Danio rerio: one gene and its partner. The protein of the gene in region 2 interacts with the protein of the main gene of each other region in a biochemical or structural test. Links are inferred from orthologs where the notes say so. Each region holds a gene or a part of one and is shown on either strand. Other genes may lie near its edges.

Evidence for each region.
Region 1: the proteins of vdac1 (region 2) and bcl2l1 form a complex in vitro, tested with the Homo sapiens proteins (4 studies listed by BioGRID). The link is inferred for Danio rerio from reciprocal best matches to the Homo sapiens genes VDAC1 and BCL2L1.

What each region holds. Positions count from the first base shown.
Region 1 is NC_133198.1:21,881,918-21,885,844, reverse strand, and holds the start of bcl2l1 (bcl-2-like protein 1), read left to right. Parts: upstream 1-1,233; 5' UTR 1,234-1,335; intron 1,336-2,792; 5' UTR 2,793-2,918; coding exon 2,919-3,491; intron 3,492-3,927. UniProt on the Homo sapiens protein: Potent inhibitor of cell death. Inhibits activation of caspases. Appears to regulate cell death by blocking the voltage-dependent anion channel (VDAC) by binding to it and preventing the release of the caspase activator, CYC1, from the mitochondrial membrane.
Region 2 is NC_133196.1:49,351,462-49,354,799, forward strand, and holds the end of vdac1 (non-selective voltage-gated ion channel VDAC1), read right to left. Parts: coding exon 3,255-3,338; intron 1,937-3,254; coding exon 1,879-1,936; intron 1,317-1,878; coding exon 1,225-1,316; 3' UTR 616-1,224; downstream 1-615. UniProt on the Homo sapiens protein: Non-selective voltage-gated ion channel that mediates the transport of anions and cations through the mitochondrion outer membrane and plasma membrane.

The DNA of each region.
Region 1 (3,927 bases), on a different chromosome or scaffold from region 2:
GGTTAATAACATTAACATTCATAACGCCTGTCAAGTGTTCGGAACAAAACATTAGTGAACAGATAAGGAAATCTGAAGAGGGGGATTTATATCAGTGACAGATAACGTGTAAAAGTTGCGAAGTTAAATTTAGATTTCAGAATTACGCTCAATGGACGTTTTAAATTATATATACTAAATTTGTTGCTTTTCAAATGATACAAAGCTTTAGCTAACGGACTTTGGAGTGAGTAAAATCCAACTCCAGTAAAACTCCAGCACAGGCAGAGCTCATCTGATCTGCTGCAATAATAAATGAAACTGCTCCTGGGTTTTAAAGAGCAGCTCTGAGTCTGAAGGGGCGGAACTGAGTGAGCGCTGCGCCGCTGAATGCTCGCTGCACCGAATGCGCTGCTGACAGCGGCTCCGCACAGACCGAGGACGAACACCCACATCGATCATGCGGGACATCATGAATTTGCCCTCTCAAATATCTGAGTAAGTACAAATGGTCTACGATAGGGGTGTGGGTCTTTACAGCCGCTTACAAGCGATTTGGTGTTACCACGGTGAGCCAGTCCATCTTCCATGACGCTAGCAGCTACACGGCTAGCTAGCCGAGGGAGGAAAGATTGACGTAGTTGACTTGGATTTTTACAGGAAACGCATTCCTGGCCAAGTAAGAGCCATAAATTATATAGGGCTTGTTATTAATTTGCTCTCTTGCTCGTGGTTTTCGTGACTGTAATGTGTGCAGAAATGCATCATATTCGTTCGTGAATTAAACATAACGTTACATGGGCTGTTCAATTTTACTCACACGCGTGAATCATTTATGCTAAACTGATTCAGGAGAATAATCTAGAATAATCCGCATCCAGCCTTTCTCCTTAACGTTAGCAGGCCGACGTTTGGGAAGCTCTTCCCAGCTGCTTATGATTTTTGTTTGGATATTTGGCTAATAATTGGACCCTTTTAATGAGCGTTTTCTCGTGCTCGGTTGACTCTGCGCGAGCTCCTCTCTGAAAGTGATCAGTATTGCTCTTACTTCCCAGACAGAACTGACTGGTTGTTTCCGCACGGCCTCTGTGTTATGGGCCTATAATGGAGCCTTATTACGTAATGGCTGATCACGTCACGCATGTAGGTGATCATATATCCTATCACAGAGAGGGGAGGTCTGCCTTAAACAGAAATATCTAGCACTTACTCGCTTTTTTCCAAACATACAGTATTACTTTTGATCTGCCACGCTTTCTGTTTAATTTCCTCGCTTAATCTGTAACTATCCTAAATTTCGAGGGCTTGTTTGCTTGGTTGACTAATCTACGGGAAGAGTAAGCAGATTGTGTTATGGTAAGCTCAGTGCTCTTTTGCTCTCTGTGTTGTCATTATCGTAAACGTTGTCAATAAGCGCGATAACTTAAGATAAAGTAGACAAATGTTAACGCAAGACTTGTGTGTTGGTTAATTTCTAACAAATTGCTCGATAATATCTTTGCTTCAGTCTCGTGTCAGCTTTAAATGTTGTTATTTGAGATCACTAACATAAGACAGCGCGGAATAGCTCTGTGTGTTTATGTGTTTGGGAGGTATGGCATCCATACACTCTCTCGTGGCCGCGCATGTGCTGCTGCTGTATACAGGAATGTGTTTGTGCTGTGTGAGTTGACCTGGTGTTTGTAAACACACCGCGTGTCGCCTTTATTAGAATAATTATTCACTCATCGATCAATCCAGCGACATCAATACGTGCTTCCACTTCAGTAAATATACATAACATTACACGTGTTCAATAAAAGGCGGTGTTTCTTATTTAATGATGAAATTTTGCGTCACATTTCGGACTAAGAGTGAGTCATTTCTTAGTAAGTGTAATAAAAAATGCTATGAAATGTGTGTTTTTTGTCATTTTCACGCCACACACAGAGCTGCGTTGAGATGGCCATGTGTTGTGCTCTGAGCTTCGTTGTTGTCAGCACGTGTTTTTGGCTGATCCAGTGTTTCCTGAGAACTCTCGCGCTCTTCCCACGAGCTATCAGATAATGCAGCGCGTGAACATCCCATGCACTCAAATAGACGAATTCAGCACAAACTTAGCCTTTAATCCGTTTCTTCTTTAATGTAGATATTTCGAAAATCTCTACACATGAACGATCATTTTATCTGGATGTCAGTCATTGTGTCTCTGTCTGTCTGTCTGTCTAGCTGCCCATTGAATTAGGGAGTTGTCTCGAAAAAAATGAATCCTTTTGATTGGAGTTTATAATTAGAAAATAGTGCTGTGTAAATTTGATCTATAATCAATAACTCCAAACTGTTCTATATGTTTAAGAGAGATTAGTGATACAGATACACTGAGCAAACATTGTAAAAAGCACCCCTAATGAAAAACACCTTGGGGAATCTTTTGTCTGTGACTCTTGGCTAGTTCTTCTGGCACTACAAAGAAGGTCCGTTATGGATTTGTTCGAATGAGGGAATCATAATTCCAGCCACGTTGGCCATTTGTGCCCCCCTGCTGTTTAAAATTCACTCATGTCAAGGTCAGTGTACATTTAGCCTTGTCTTGGACAAGGGGAGAGGGGAAATTGTCCATGTTTTTCATAGGAGGCAGGTGATGAGAGGCTACCATCTGTTCCTTTGATCAAGCTCTTCATTAAGTAAGAGGGTTTTAGGTGGTGAAAAAAGCTGTTTATCTTCAGTGCCCCTTAACCTCTTCCAAAGTTTCACCCTGACCCCCCTCCTCTGCCTGTTTGTGAAGATGATTGCGTATTTATGGATCAATTCATTGCACTGTTGTCTTACCACAGGGTATGAGCCATTGCACCATCCCTGAGCGTCGGCAGAAGCCTGAGCAGGACGCAAGGGTGTGCACTGTGTTCTGAGAAACAGCTAGTGGATATCTAGACATCGGAGAACGAGCAACAACCTGAATTATGTCTTACTATAACCGAGAACTGGTGGTATTTTTTATCAAATATAAACTCTCGCAGAGGAACTACCCCTGCAACCACATTGGACTTACAGAAGACACAAATCGGACTGATGGGGCTGAAGAGAATGGCGAGGGGGCAGCAGGAGCGACAACTCTTGTTAATGGCACCATGAATAGAACGAACGCTAGTTCCACTGGGACCCCACCACAATCCCCTGCTTCATCCCCCCAGCGTCAAACAAATGGGTCTGGGGGTCTAGACGCAGTGAAGGAGGCGCTCCGTGATTCTGCCAACGAGTTTGAGCTGCGCTATTCCAGAGCATTCAACGATCTTTCCTCACAGCTCCACATCACACCCGCCACAGCGTACCAGAGCTTCGAGAGCGTGATGGATGAGGTGTTTCGCGACGGCGTCAACTGGGGCCGAATCGTGGGGTTGTTCGCATTCGGAGGGGCTCTGTGCGTCGAGTGTGTGGAGAAGGAGATGAGTCCGCTTGTGGGACGCATCGCAGAATGGATGACCGTCTACCTAGACAACCATATTCAACCCTGGATCCAAAGCCAAGGAGGATGGGTGAGTTAAAATTTACTTGTTTTTTAACCTACCTTATTCTTCTTCAGTCAGCATTTATGTATGTTCAATGTGTCAGATTGTCCTGTTTAATATAAAGACTTTTCAAAGATTAAAAAAACAAACAAACTATATGGGCAACCTTGAAGTAAAAAGTTTTGTTACAAGGCACGTCTACCCCTTAAAAAATAAGGTTTTCACCCTCATTTTGTCACAAACCAATAAGACTTTGGGTGAACCCGAAGGTATTTTATTCTCTAATAAATCTAAATTAATCAACCAGTAGAATCGTAGGATATTTTAATTAGAGGACCATTGCAGTTTGTTAATAATTCATGGAAAGAAAGATACATATGTATCCTTGGAGTTTCCCTGTTTTCTTCAGTTAAGTAAGAAAATCCAATGTATTTGTTTGTTGTATGATTTTTTTTACTGCTTT
Region 2 (3,338 bases):
GTCAGAATTATTACCCATTTATTTTTTTTCCCCAATTTCTGTTTAACGGAGCAAATTTTTTCAACACATTTCTAATCATAATAGTGTTAATAACTCATCTCTAATAACTGATTTATTTTCTCTTTGTCATGATGACTGTAAATAATAGTACTCTAGATATTCTTCAAGACACTTCTATACAGCTTAAAGTGACATTTAAAGGCATCACTAGGGTAATTAGGCAAGTCATTGTATAATGATGATTTGTTCTGTAGACTATCCAAAACAAAATATCTTAAAGGGGCTAATAATATTGACCTTTAAATGGTGTTTAAAAACACAATAACTGCTTTTATTCTAGCCGAAATAAAACAAATCAGACTTTCTCCAGAAGAACAAATATTATCAGACACACTGTGAACATTTCCTGCATCTGTTTAACATCATTTGGGAAATATTTAAAAAAGAAAAAAAAAGTCAAAGGGGGCGAATAATTTTGACTTCAACTTAATATATATTTATTACACATTCTATCAGTCTATACCTATAGTTTTCAAAAACATTAATCTTCATAAACAGAATTTACTGCATGCAAAAAGGCAGATTTTCCCACAGAACACAACACACACAGTCCAGTAGGTGTGATACAGGTCGAACGTTTTATTCAACGTAAGGAAGGACTCCATCCTGCTAAATCCACAGCTTCCTAATCCTACATGTAACAATGGAAGACAAGCCTACATCCAGAACTGCACGTCACTCGTGCTCTTCCCGACACACACTTCTGTTTTCAGGAGCTCTGCACGGACGCAGCAGGTAGTATGCAGCGCTAAAACAACGACACACATGTGGATTACTCGCACACACACACCAGACGGAGACATGAGACGCACCCAAACGTGTGGAATCTATCATAAAGAGCTGCAGGCTCTCTTTCTGAAGATCAGGAATGTCAATCTAGTGTTTTCTGACGTAAACTTCCACAAAGAAATGAGCATCTGTAAAGTATGAACACTGAAATAAATAACGCAGAGTGTGTTGAAGACAAAACATCTTATAAACCGGGGAGCGCTCTTCTCTAATAGTGTTTCTCTCTGGGAAAGTGAGCCGCTGCTAATGCATACATGTCTCCAGGTATACCGTGTGTGTTCCTGCTCAGGAGAAATAAGGTGTGTGAGGGTGTGGGGATAGAAAATAAAGTGTGTAATATTAAATGAAGTCAGGATCGGAGCAATCCACAGCTTCTTATGCCTCAAACTCCAGACCCAAACCCATCTTGTGGCCTCCGGCGTTAATGTTCTTGCCATCCAGAAGAGCAGAAAGGGTCAGCTTAATACCTGAAAGCAGAAGAGAGACGTTGGGGAATTAATCCAGCAGGTATTATACTGCAGATATCATATTAGACCTGAAAAAACACAGTGCTGTAGGGGAATTGATCAACTGAATTGCCCGTGGTGTATGAGTGTGTGCATGAGAGAGTATCCCAGTACTGGGTTGCAGCTGGAAGGGCATCCGCTGTGTGAAATATGTTCTGGATAAGTTGGTGGTTCATTCTGCTGTGGCGACCCCTGATGAATAAAGGGACTAAGCTGATTTCCAGCCTAGAAAGTGACCAGCTAAAACCATCAAAACCAGCTTGACCATCCTGGTTTAAGCTGGACATAGCTGGTTTTGGCTGGGCTCCAAGCCTGGCTAGGCTGGTCAAGCTGGTTTTAGCTGGTCATCTCCCAGCTTGTCCAGCTAAAACCAGGCTGGAAATGGCTGGAAACCAGCCTGGAAGTGGCCAAAACCCCTCTAAAACCAGGCTGGTTGACCAGCTAAAACCAGTCAACCATCCTAGGCTGGTTTAAGCTGGATTTTTCAGCAGAGCCCTGTTTAATAATATCTACACACACTTACCAGGCTTCAGAGTTTGAGTGTATCCCAGCCCGACAAGGCTCGAGTTATTCACTTTGGCCTGTAAGACAGACAAAAACAGTGATGTTGAATACAAATATAGTAGATTCCCTTCAATCATGACTTTCCCCAGAGCGTTCAGTGATGAAGCAATATCTAGAGCTGCGGCCTGAAACCACATCATGTAATAACTCGGGGATGTTGAGGTGGTCTGGCAGTGGTATACGTCCTGGGGGGGGTCATCGGTCCAGATTTTGTGGTGACTCAAAATTTGTAGCTGTATTTGCAAAATATGCATCTCTAAAGACTTAGTCCAGGGGTCAGCAATCCTGGTCCTGCAGGGTTTAGCTCCATCTTGACTCAACACACCTGCATGGATGTTTCAAGTATACCCAGTAAAGCTGCTGTCACACTGGGCTTTTCCTCCCATAGACTTCCATTCATACGCACGCAAATGCGTCAGACAGGAAACGCAGGGTCATTTGTCAAGTTTCACAGGTTGCTGCGGTGCAAAGTTCCAGCTTGGTGAACTCTGAGAAATCTCATCACTAGACTGAGACAAATCGAGGATCAAAACATGCAGCAATCGCTCGCTTTTAGTTTTAAAAATGTCTAATAAGCTTGTTTAATCACGGCGCTTTTTGCAGCGCTGCATGACAGAATTTCGCATACTCAAACTCTAATGTGACCGCAGCGTAAGAGCTTGATTAGCTTGTTCAGGTGTGTTTGATTAGGGTTAAAGCTCAAATCTGCAGGACTCCGGCCCTCCAGGAACAGGTTTGGTGAGTAATGACTTCTGTACTGGTCTAACACACTATTATGGAAATATCTCTCCTTTGCAGTTGCTCTACAAATCTGACAGCTTTAAAATAAAATAAGAATAAAAAATAAAATAAAAATGCTGTTATATACATAAACTTCACCTTATTTATTTTTGTGTTATTTATTTATTTCAAAATGCATTGTGATTCTCTCTTGAATGGAGTTTAAGCTCAGTTTTTAACCAGCAGATGGTGCTGTGTGGTGCAGGTGTGGCATAAAAGCCTAGGTGCATTTGGCCACTTACAGTGCAGTACTCAGCCAAACACACACCTCACTCTTATTCATGAGCATTTCAGTGTGCTGATAAATAAATAAATAAATAAATGCAGCACAATATATTGTCTATTGCACTCCTTCATGCTGAGCACTCCATGTATGCATGAATATGGAAATAAATAATAATGGTAGAATAAAAAATACAAATGGTGATAAAAATAGATTTCTTGATTTGACTCTTGATATTATGCTATTAATATAATATTATGATGGTTGATTAGACAAACTAATAAAAGCTGACAGTATCTACAGTAACTTTGATGATGATGATGATCACGCACCGAGAAGGCCGCGTCGCTGTCGATTTGGTATTTGGCTGCAATGCCGAAGCGAGTGTTGCTGTTCCCGGCGGTCCAGGCCAGATT